3 linked regions of the Sus scrofa genome follow. The protein of the gene in region 1 purifies or fractionates together with the protein of each later gene. This does not show direct contact. Links are inferred from orthologs where the notes say so. Each region holds a gene or a part of one and is shown on either strand. Other genes may lie near its edges.

Region 1 (3,500 bases):
TGTGAGCTGTAGGGTAGGTCGCAGACACGGCTAGGATCCTGAGTTGCTGTGGCTGTGGTGTAGGTTGGCAGCTATAGCTCTGGTTTGACCCGTAGCCTGGGAGCCTCCACCACGAGTGCAGCCTTAAAAAGCATAATAAAAAAAAAAAAAAAAGAAAAAGAAAAGGAAAGTACATAGAAGAGTGGACTTTCAATCAGGATTGTCAGCAGAGGCAGTGATGTGACAGGACCACCTCTGGGGCTTCTGTCTCACCTCTTGTTCCCCATCCTCAGGTTCCAGAGGAGACAGTGTAGCATAAAGTCTCAGAACACAAACTCTGGAACCAGGCTGTCATGGTTCATAGGTCAACCACTTACTGGCTCTGTGGTTGCAGGCAGGTTCCTTAGTCTCTCTCGCCTCATTTCCTCACATGCAAAATGGGAATAATCATAGTGCCTAAGTCAGAGGGTTGTTGTGAGGATTCAAAGTATTGATATATATAAAGCACTCAGAGAGTTCCCATGTGGCTCAGTGGAAACAAATCTGACTAGCATCCATGAGAACACAGGTTCGATCCCTGGCCTCGATCAGTGGATTAAGGATCCAGCATTGCAGTGAGCTGTGGTGTAGTTCACATGCAGGGTCAGATCCCACGTTGCTGTGGCTGTGGTGTAGGCTGGCAACAACAGCTCTGATTCGACCCCTAGCCTGGGAACCTCTATATGCCACGTGTGCAGCACTAAAAAGACAATAAAATAAAATAAAATAATAAAGTACAGTGTAGACATAATAAACATGCTATAAGACTAAATATTTGTAGAATCCTTCCTATATTGAGAGTGCTATATTCCTCAAGCAATTAAAACAGAAAAAAAAAAAAAAAAAAAAAAGGAAAGTAATTTCAGCATAATATATGTTTCAAGGGCTAAGGTCAAGTTATCACCAGACCAGTCTCTCCTAGTATCTAGGAATTTTAAAATTTTATGAAAGTGATATATATGTTAAAAAATGTGAACTTTGGCTGCTTTTTAGGACCAGAGGAGGATCTTCCAAGGAAAATGGAATACTTGGAATTTGTCTGTCACGCACCTTCTGAATACTTCAAGTCACGTTCCTCACCCTTCCCCACAGTTCCCACCAGACCAGAGAAGGGCTATATATGGACTCACGTTGGACCCACTCCTGCAATAACTATTAAGGAAACGGTTGCCAACCATTTGTAGTTTAAAAAGTAAACCCAGATTTCTGGTTGTCTTGTATCTATACTGTTACTGTGAGATATGCCACATGTTTCTTTAATGAAATTCTTGGATGAAAAAATAGCCACAAAGTTTTTTGCCTACTGCCCAGTAATCATTAGCTTGTTTATTGCTAGTCACTTAGAATACTAAGAGATTGAAAATAATTAAATATATTTTGAAGTGAAGAATTAAATCCTGTGTGTGTAGCCTCCGAGGCAAAGACTAACTTCCAGGAAGGCCACTTTAGGAAAAGGTTGTATCTATTTTTCTCCATAATTTATTTCTAGAAACTCATAAAATGGATTATATTTTTCTACAAGAATAAAATATTAATTAAGGTTTGGATTTCTAACCAAGGGTGGAATCGAATCAAATGTAGCTATGATCCACAGTCTCCATCACCAAGTTGAAAAAGCTTTATTTTATCATCTGGAAAATGTTATGACAGACTGTTGGCTTCTTTAACCTTAAGGAAAGTGATTGGTGGCTAATTTTATTAGCCCAGGCTTCTAGAAACTTTCATCTAATTCTTCTGTAGTAAACAAGTGTTCAGAATCATTTTGATGGATTTTGTGTGTGTGTGTGTATGTGTGTGTCTTTTTGCTATTTCTTGGGCCGCTCCCGTGGCATATGGAGGTTCCCAGGCTAGGGGTCCAATTGGAGCTGTAGCTCACTGGCCTGCGCCGCAGCCACAGCAACATGGGATCTGAGCCACGTCTGCAACCCACACCACAGCTCCTGGCAACGCCAGATCCCCAGCCCACTGAGCAAGGGCAGGGATTGAACCCTCAACCTCATGGTTCCTAGTCGGATTTGTTAACCACTGAGCCACGACAGGAATTCCTTGATGGATCTTAGTAGCGCTTCCCTTCACTAGCCTCACTTCTCAATCAGAGCAAAGCTTCCAGTCAAAACATGAAGTTGTAGGAGTTCCCATTCTGGTGCAGCACTAAGAAACCCAGCTAGTATCCATGAGGATGCAGGTTCGATCCCTGGCCTTGCTCAATGGGTTAAGAATCTAGCATTGCTGTGAGCTGTGGTGTAGGTTGCAAACCCAGCTCAGATCCTGCATTGCTGTGGCTGTGGTGTAGGCCGGCAGCTGCAGCTCCCAATTCAACCCCTAGCCTGGAAATTTACATATGCTGTGGGTGCAGCCCTAATAAGACATAAAAAAAAATATATATTAAGTTTTATAGTGCAGTCAACTTGCCTAAAAACACGCAGGAAACATACTATTTAGACATCCCAGAGCAGTAGTTTCTTGCCACCATTAGAGTAAACATTGGGCAGTTATAGCAATGATTAATTGACATAGATATCTAAAAACGTCCACCCCCAGGAATTCCCCCTATGGCACACTAGGTTCAGTATCCAGGGTTGTCTCTGGTGGCATGGGTTCGATCCCCAGCCCTGTGCAGTGGGTTAAGGATCTGGCGTTGCCACAGTTGTGACATAGGTTGCACCTGTGTCTCCATTTGATCCCTGGCCCAGGAACCTTCACATGCTGTGGGTGCAGCCAAAAAGAAAAAAAAAGGTCCACCCAAAGTTAAAACTATATGCTGCAGCCTCATAATACCAGGCGTAAAACAATGTCTTGGTCTTAGAAGGCCAGGCCCAGGTTTTCTATTCACTATTCAGCTTTTACTTCAAGTGTAGCTCAGCTAAGTAAGGGAGCAACAACTTAAAAGCGGGAGGTAGTGGTGACTGCTCACACCTGCCTCTTCTCTTGTCCTGATTTCACCGTGTTTTCTCAACCCCAGGAAAATGTGTCAGGATCTAATGGAATCATAATGATTTTGAGTTGTAGCAGTTTTAACTGTTACCATTTTTCTACACAGTTACAATTTGTATGTTGGAGGGAAGTTACTGTTTGTATTTGTGGACAGATAAGGTCTTTGTACATAATTGTCTCTGTCTTAACAGAAGTTATAGGTAAGTTGATTGTAAATACCATTGTAAATAACTAAATGCTAATATTCAAACTTTGGGATTAAAACATATATTTCACAATGTATTTACTTTGTATTTATTTGTTTCATTTCAACAATTACATAGAGCTTTCTACTCCAACACAGTGTTAGTAGAAGACACAAGTGATTCTGATGTGTGGCCAGAAGTGAGAAGCACTGCTCCGGCTAGTTCTCTTAGCATATAAAATTCAGCTGATAAAGACTTCAGTTTCTACCAAGAGAGGAAAAGATTGCTAGCATCCTGCTTTGGGGCAATTTGGGCAGCTAATCAAAAGCCTACTTCTACCAGTTATCCCTGGTAAAGGTAATT
Region 2 (3,979 bases), on another chromosome or scaffold:
ATTTACCCTGATTTCTGATAAACTAGTTTGTTTTTGCCTTTAAAAAATTTTAATTAAGGATAATTGCAAATGGATAAAAATGTAGAGGGAATAATATTATAAGCCTATGCGAATCTATCCTCCAGCTTCAACAATTACCAACTGAAGGCCATCTTGTTTTATCTATAACCCCACCCACTGCTCCCCCCCCACTCCGTTTTTTTCAAGCTCAGTGAATAGCTGACTTTCTGTATTTTATTATGGAAAATTTCAAACATATACCAAGAAAGCCAGTATAATTTAAGAAATCATATATGCCCATCACTCAGCTTAAACGATTAACTTAGGGCCAATTTGGTTTCATCTATACCCCTCCCCACGTCCCCCTACCGCTGAGATTATTTTGAAGCAAATCATAGATATCAACATATTTTGAAGCCAATCTCAGACATTTTACTATTTAATCCGTATTTTCATATATATTGCTACAAGCTAAAGACAATTTGAAACCATAACCACAATACCATTTTAACGTCTAAAACATCGTCATCAATTTCCCCCAAAAAATCGAATTTGAATACGACTTCAAAATATCCCGATGCATCTTAAACAGTTTTTTAAAAAAATATAGTTAATGTGTCCGAATCAGGATCCAAACAAGGCCTACTCATCGCATGTGGTTCATCTCCAGCTCGCTCATTCTCCATCTCTCCCCACCCCCATCCCCCCCGCCGCTTTTTTTTTAAACTTTTCAATATGGAAAATTCCAATCCCCGCTATTTTGAGGCAATTCCCAAATAAACTATTCCATCGGTAAAAACTGATACGTCTCTTTTATATCTCGAATTTCTTCTAGGGGAGGAGATGATGGGCAGGAAAAACACTATAATGAACGACTTTACATAATTTATGTTTTCTTTCTCTATTACGCGTTTTTTTCTCTCCATAATAACAGCTAATATCTTCCGGAGTCAGGCTTCATATTAAGTTATTAAGCGTATTATATTATATTACTTTGCATTCGTTAGTTATACGCACTAATATACAGCACACGCCTCTGAGGCACACGTCTCTGAGGTAGATACTATTATTATCACCATTTTACAAACATGGAAACCGAGACACAGAAAGAACGGGAGCCAGCCCAAGCTGGGCGTTGGCGAGTAGGCATTTGAATCTAGCTCTGCCTGATTGTGAAGCCATCAGTTAATCTTGTCTATATACGCAACGATAAGAGGAAATCGGCAACCCTTTCTCCCCACCCCCACCCCGAAACCTGAAACGAGAATCCAGTTCTTTCCAGCAGCCGACGTGTGATCACTGCCGACCCTCCAACCGCCATAGTAAAGCCAGGTTTCTCTGGCAACTGATATCCATAGGCAGACACGTCACCCTGGAGGCGGGCTTACGCCCTCTAGCCAATCACAATCGTCTTGCCTAAGTTTTAGAATGTTCCATAACCAAATGATTGGTGGAAGCCCACCACGTCAGCAATGACACTTAGCCGCAGTAAAGGCGGGTGCTAGCAACCTGCTTCTTCACGGTTAAGACTTGAGGAAAACCAATCACCTTCCTCCTTTAGTGCGGACTGTGGCCAATGACGTTCGCCCTCTTAGGTTCTTAGCCCGCCCCCCAAAAGCGCGACAGCAGTTGGGTCATAAGTCTATAGGGCAGGGTGTTCACGTGGCCTATTTTCACGACCCAGAGTTCCTCTGACCAGAGGTTTTTTCTTTTTTTTTTTTTCTTTCTTTCTTTTTTTTTTTTTTTTTTCCTGCAGGGAGGCATTATGGGTTTTTTTTCCACTGGGAAAGGAAGTGTCTACGTGGCCTGCGGAAACAGGATGGGCGGAAATGAGCTAAAGTTCCCGCGAGTGGGGAAGCGCGAGGTCAAATCTGGGGCCACGCCCCCAACCTCTTGCGCAACTCTTGGAGAAAAAAAAAAAGGCAGAGTGGGGTTTCGGTGTGTATGCTGGTGGCGGGTGGCGGCGTGCTGCGGCCGTGTGGTGTCAGGGCCACGGCGTTTGTGCGCAGGCGAGCCCGCGTGGCCTTGGGGATGGCTTATGCGCGAACGCCAGGCCTCGTGGCGTTGGAGGCGGGTGTGCGCAGGCGTGCGCCCCTAGCGTTGGGGCCGTTGTGTGTCGCCGAGCGGGTGCGTGCGCCTTCGTGTGTGTGTGTGTGTGTGTGTGTGAGTGTGTGTACACGCGCGCGCACGGATGTGTGCGGGGGCGCGCGCTCTGTAAGAATCGTTTTCTACTTTCGTAGGTTTGAATATTGTTCTGATGAAAAGGAAAATCATTAAATAGTTAAGGCAAGGCGACCGTAACTAAGATAAAGGGTCTTTGCTAGGGATATTTCGATCTCTCATCGATTTAATTTTAAACCCTAAAATTACACTTTCTTCCCACGTTTTTTTCCGTGTCAAAATCCTGTATTAAACCCTAGCCCTCCAGTGGTTAAAAGCCGAACCTTCCCGTTCCTATATTAGCAATTCCACGAAACAGTTTCTTTCCTGTTCCCTAATAACCTTCTCCCCACCTCTTACCCGCTCCCTCCCCTCCCCCCTTCCCCAAGTTTTGTACAATTCTCTTGGCACAAACAATTTTCTGCAGAGAATATCTATATACAACAGACTTCCCCTCCACTAGGGACTCCCAATTTCTGTAGGAGTTGAGGCTCTCTTACCTTTCACTCCTGATCTCCAAGCAGTGTGCTCTTCAGGCAAGTACGCGCTCAGTTAATTTTCCAGAAAGTTCTCTGGATGAGGTTTATACCTTTTGCATCTGCCACTAGATGCCGCCAAATTCCATCAAAGGATTGGCTGTTTGGTCCCTGGAATTATGGGATTCCCCCCCCCTTTCTGATTTGCTGAACTCTTCAATCTATAGAAATCACTCATATATATTTCATTGCTGGGGAAAAATCAATTTAATTTCTGTTAATTGCTCTATCAGGAGACTATGGCCCTAGATACAAATGTTTTACCTCATTTCCTTATTAAAAAAAATCACCCCTCCCATTCTTCTTTCTTTCTTGCCTTTTTTTTTTTTTGCCAGGGGTGGGCAGTCAGAACTGATGAAAGACTTGAGGTACTGGTGCTGATGAAGATTGGAAGCGTCTCTGGGGTTAGGATCTTCACTTCAAGTGCTTCCCTCACCCTTACCCACCCCCACCCCAAGTGAAAATATAGATGGCTTGTTTAGTTAGTAAAGACATACATCTTTACTGGACTTGGACCCAATTACTGAAAACTGATTTTCTTTTCCTCTTGAAATTATGATTAGGTATGTGTTTCTACCCTGTTTTCTGTAGTGGTACTGGTAAACCGTATTATGTTTTTGGAGTCAAAGACCTGATTTTAAACCTTACTCCACCATTTACTAGTTCTGAGGCCCTGGGATTTATATGCTGTGCTTTCAGGTTTTTTTTTGCATGCCTTCTGTGTTTTAGGTAGTGTTACCATATTCTTCACACAGATATTCTTTTCTTCTTCACAAAATCCTTATTAGATGGATACTAATCAAAATCAAACAAAAGTTGTACCTCTTTCAGTTATAGATCCTATACATGTGTGCATGCACGCAGGTATGCGCTCATAAATACGCACACATACACCCCCCCCCCCCCCCGGGGAATGGGTGAGGTTTAGAGCAGAGGTTCTCAAAGTGTGTTTCCCAGACTCACCGGTAGCATCATTATCACCTTTTGGGAAGTTGTCAGAAATTTATAGTCTCAGGCCTCACCTCCAACCTAACCAGTCAGAAATTCTAGGAGTAGGGTTTGGCTTTCTGTGTTACGACAGATAACAAACTGTTCTGGTTATTCCAGCGCACACCGAAGTTAAAAAGCACTGCTTTGAAGAGCAGAAATAAAATGCTTATTTTTGTACACTCCACTAGAGGGTGCTGCAGAATGTAAAGCCAAAAAAAAAAAAAAAAAAAAAAAAAAAAGTACATGTTCTATTGAGACACCCTGCATGTTCTCTGTCCCGTTTCACAGATTAA
Region 3 (4,267 bases), on another chromosome or scaffold:
ATTATTTACATCCCAGTTACACCTTCCCTAGTTACTCAAGTGGGATGCAACAACTTCAGGTGTCTCAATACTGTGTCTAATAAACATCCAAGTTTATCAAATTACAAGGAAAACAAAATTTGAAAGAAACAAAAACAGGTAAAATTAAAGCCCCAAAACTAACTTTCAAAAAGTACTTATGTAATTGGATAATGTTTTTTATTCATGTTCAATGTGACACAGCACTTTATAAGACTGTTATATAAATGTTTTGTCCAAAGCCCAGCTTCTGGGCACCCAGATATTCAAAAAAAAAAAAAAAAAGGCAAACCCACAGAACAAGGATAATTTCCAGATTAAAAATGTGCTATAAATGAAATGAGAAAACACATTTCAAGTAGAGTTCCAGACAACATAGTTTGATTTGGCCTAAATAATAGTAAATGCATTTAAAAATGTGAAAAGTAGTCAAAAAATTTTTTATCTTACCTTGGAAACTAAAGAAATCCCCTAATATTGAAATACTGAAATGTTTGTAAACATTTATTTTAAATAACAATTACATGACACAGAGAAGGTATATTATTTCAGTCTTTTTTAAGTAATACAGCTATATTTTAAAAAAATGAACAGTCTCTATTCATTAAGGCGATACACTAGATGAATACATGGGTTAGGAAAAACTTCAGTACTTAAGGTTTTGTCAATATTAGGTAATCTTTACAGAAAAAGTATTAAGTGACAATTAAAAATTTTAAAGAGTTAAACTTTTGGAGGATGACAATACATATATCCTCATTCATCACAGTAATTATTTGTTCAACCTTCTCTGCCAACTGATAGTCTATAATCTTAAATTCATTGAGAACTAGGGGAGAAGCTTGTCTGGGTTTTAAAAACAAACAGACTGATCTAGATTCAAAACTTACTTTGCCACTGCCCAAGATCACATATCTAAGTTATTTAACTTATGCAGATTTGCCTCATCTGTAAAATGAGACCTTGTTTCCCTTCTGGAGCTTCAAACAATATTAAATGAAATAATCTGTAAACGCTGAATTAGCTCCCCCTCTCCCCAAGCCCCCCCCCCCCACGGTCTAAGCTCTTTTTACTCACAGTGCTGCACACACCTCTGGGATAGCCTGTGGCCAGAGCAGATGCTTTTTAAAATACAATGGATAAAAGGACAATATGTTATTTTTATTGCTAGTAGACAGGACATAAAGCAAGGTACTCCTTTAAGAAGCACTAAGGGTAGGGTTCACACACTTTAATGTTCATTAAGCATCATGAGAGTACTTATTGGAAAAGCAGCTTCTAGAACTTTCATATCCAGAAACTGATTCTAGACTGGGAATGAGGCCTAGAGATATGCATTTTAACAAGCATCCGGCTGCCTCCGGTGCAGGTGAACCAGGAATGTCATTTGGAAAGCACTGGTCTGACGAATAGAGAAAAAAACCTTTTGACCTTGAGCAAGTATTCAACCTCTTGGGGCACTAAATTTCATCGTAAAGATTGATATTATAACTAATCCACTGGCAAACCCAGTTATTTGCTATCATCGCGATTCGCAAATCTTTGATTCATGGTTCCTTACAGCAAAAGATTCGACATTTTCTTCCACCTCATTTGACAAATCCTTTCTAAGCCTCTAGATTTTAAAAATAAATGCTGCTGCTGCTCCTCCCCCGAGAAGACTTTTCATTGCAGCAGTAATCACTCTGGGGTTCTTGTTTGGTGAAACCATCCTAAGGGAACAACTAGAGGTTTACATTACCATCTTAAAAACCTCAGCCCTGAGATGAGGCCTCCAAATACTTAATAAATCAAGCATCAAAAGGGCTTGAAGAAACAGCCCACCGATCGAACAGCAGTTTTTACTGTGACACCTTAATAAGAATTATACGCGAGTGTAAAGACGTCGTGTCAGTAACTCAAACACCTTACAGGCCAACGAAAGACCGAAAGCTTTTGTTACCCTTGCCCACAACCCAATAGAGGAAGGAAAGTATCAGTTCCCAAGTTCTAGGCGGAAAGGCCCCAGGGGCACCACTCTCTCGCGTCCGGACGTGCCTACATGAGACCCCAAAGAAACCAAGGCAGAAACATCCAAAAACGCAGCGTCCAGGTGTCGAGAAACCAGGGCAAGTGAACGTGAAAGGACAGAAGGGCCGGGAAGTCAAGCGAACCCGATCAGACTCCGGTACCTTGGGCGGTCGGATTTTGCAGATGCCGGTCTTCTCCGCCAGGGGCCGGATGCGGCCGATGAAGCTGAGCGGGTCTGTGAACTCCTCCCAGCTGGGTTCAAAGACCGGGCACTCCGGAGGCGGCACAAACTCCGCCGCGTAGCCCCCCGGCCCAATGCCCGCCATGGTCGCACAGGGGCCCGCGGCGCAGAGAGAGTAGCTTTGGGTGGGCCCACTGATGGCGCTCACGTCCGCTGACAGGGGCCGAAGCTCATCTTCTCAGGCGAAACCCGCTCAACGCAAGAAACCCTAAACCGCTTCCTCCAACGTTTGTTATTGTTTCCTTCGGGGCTTTTCCTCTCAGGTCGGGGCTCGCCGGAAGTCAGCGTACGACCAAATCCCTCCGCCACCCAGAAACAGGATCCCTCCGCAGCAGTGCCCAGTTGCGCGACCTTCCTCTCTCTCTTTTTCCAGACAACACAGGTCGCTCCTTGGCTCTTCGACCGCGGAAGGTCCGCGCTGCCGACGTCTCCTAGGGCTCAGTCTAGCGGCCCCGTGGCCCCCTCCCACTGGGGCGGTGGGGAACAACCAAACGAGCAGGGCGCTCTTCCGGCGCGGGGGGCTGCGTAATGCGCCGGGGACTGCGTAATGCGCCAAGGGCAGAGGTTCTGCTTCCGGTGAGCGGAACCCGGTTCCCCTTTGTGTGTAGGTGGTCCCCAGGGCGAGCCGTCTGATTTTGCTGTGCTGACTCTTTCACCTACCGTGTATGATTCCAAATAACTACTTTCTCCAGCATCTGTCTCTCTCTCTCTCTTTTTTTTTTTTGGTCCTTTCACTGTTAGTGTCCCTTTCGAATAATCTCGGACACTTTAATCCGCCCCATCTCCATGGCAACAAATTCGGGTCCAGCCCATCCCCCCAATCTCCCGGCTGGCCGGCCTTCGTTACCGTCTAAGAATTGATTTCCGACCACAAAGAAATAACGGCTCTTGAAACTTACTTTTACAACCGTTGATAACCCCCACATCGTCTTAACAGCAATCGCTCTCTTCTGGTAGCAGTGCACCTTGAGACTTTCTCAGTTTGCTCTAACAGCTAGGGCAGCTGTTCCGGCCCTGCTTGTAAAAAACCTCTATGCCAGAGCCCCTCTCCACTTAGTCCAAATTCCGGAAAATGACGCAGAAAAGACTAAAGACGCCGTGAAAGGATAGTTCTTGTATTGAACATCAATCGGAAGACTTACTTCCCGAGGCTTGTTCTCATGCTCCCTGCTCAGTCTAAGCCTCCCCCAGGACCTAAATGGTGATGACTTCCAAATCTCTTATTTCCAGCCTGGACTCCTCTCCTGAGTTACAAGCCAGTACTTCTAGCTACGTAATGGACAGCTCCACTTTGGTGAACTCAGAAAACTTGAACTTGTAGGTCCCCACTGTTTTTTCAGTGTTTCTGATTTCTATGCATGTCTTCATCCTTCTACTCAGTTGCCTGAACCAGAATCTAGAAGTAATCCTTAATTCCTGCTCCTTCACTCCCCACTTAAAATCCAGTGTCAAGTATGGAGATTCTGTCATCTAAAAATAAATCCATTATATATATATATATATATATATATATATACATATACACACACACACATATATATAATAAATATAAATCCACTCATGCCTGTACATCCAAATTATCAGGATCCTGGAGTTACTGTTGTGGCCCAGCAGAAACTGATCCAACTAGTATCCGTCTGGGTTTGATCCCCCGCCTCGCTCAGTGGGTCGGGATCTGGCATTGCCATGAGCTGTGGTGTATATAGGTCCCAGAGGGCAAGGATTCCGCCTTGCTCTGGCTGTGGCTGTGGCATAGGCTGGCAGCTGTAGCTCCAATTCAGTCCCTAGCCTGGGATCCATATGCCGCTGGTGTGGCCCTAAAAAAGCAAAAAATATGTCTGTGTGTGTGTCTGTGTGTATACATACATCAGGATGCTAGTTAAGTTCTCTCTCACCTGGACTCTGATAACAGCTCAGGTCTTGCCCCTATCAAATCCCCCTCCACTCAGTTGTCAGGTTGCTTTGTCAAAAGTCCAGAATTCATCATGTCACTTCCAT

Evidence for each region. The genes of interacting proteins can lie anywhere in the genome.
Region 2: the proteins of GATAD1 (region 1) and MORF4L2 purify together in Homo sapiens (affinity purification with mass spectrometry; 4 studies listed by BioGRID and IntAct, with this or other methods). This does not show direct contact. The link is inferred for Sus scrofa from reciprocal best matches to the Homo sapiens genes GATAD1 and MORF4L2.
Region 3: the proteins of GATAD1 (region 1) and KDM5A purify together in Homo sapiens (affinity purification with mass spectrometry; 6 studies listed by BioGRID and IntAct, with this or other methods). This does not show direct contact. The link is inferred for Sus scrofa from reciprocal best matches to the Homo sapiens genes GATAD1 and KDM5A.

Annotation. Positions count from the first base shown.
Region 1 is NC_010451.4:72,366,831-72,370,330, forward strand, and holds the end of GATAD1 (GATA zinc finger domain-containing protein 1), read left to right. Parts: intron 1-1,011; coding exon 1,012-1,202; 3' UTR 1,203-3,234; downstream 3,235-3,500. UniProt on the Homo sapiens protein: Component of some chromatin complex recruited to chromatin sites methylated 'Lys-4' of histone H3 (H3K4me), with a preference for trimethylated form (H3K4me3).
Region 2 is NC_010461.5:84,563,505-84,567,483, forward strand, and holds the start of MORF4L2 (mortality factor 4-like protein 2), read right to left. Parts: upstream 2,801-3,979; 5' UTR 2,661-2,800; intron 1,537-2,660; exon of another isoform or gene 1,256-1,536; intron 1-1,255. UniProt on the Homo sapiens protein: Component of the NuA4 histone acetyltransferase complex which is involved in transcriptional activation of select genes principally by acetylation of nucleosomal histone H4 and H2A.
Region 3 is NC_010447.5:67,713,344-67,717,610, forward strand, and holds the start of KDM5A (lysine-specific demethylase 5A), read right to left. Parts: upstream 2,801-4,267; 5' UTR 2,355-2,800; coding exon 2,190-2,354; intron 1-2,189. UniProt on the Homo sapiens protein: Histone demethylase that specifically demethylates 'Lys-4' of histone H3, thereby playing a central role in histone code. Does not demethylate histone H3 'Lys-9', H3 'Lys-27', H3 'Lys-36', H3 'Lys-79' or H4 'Lys-20'.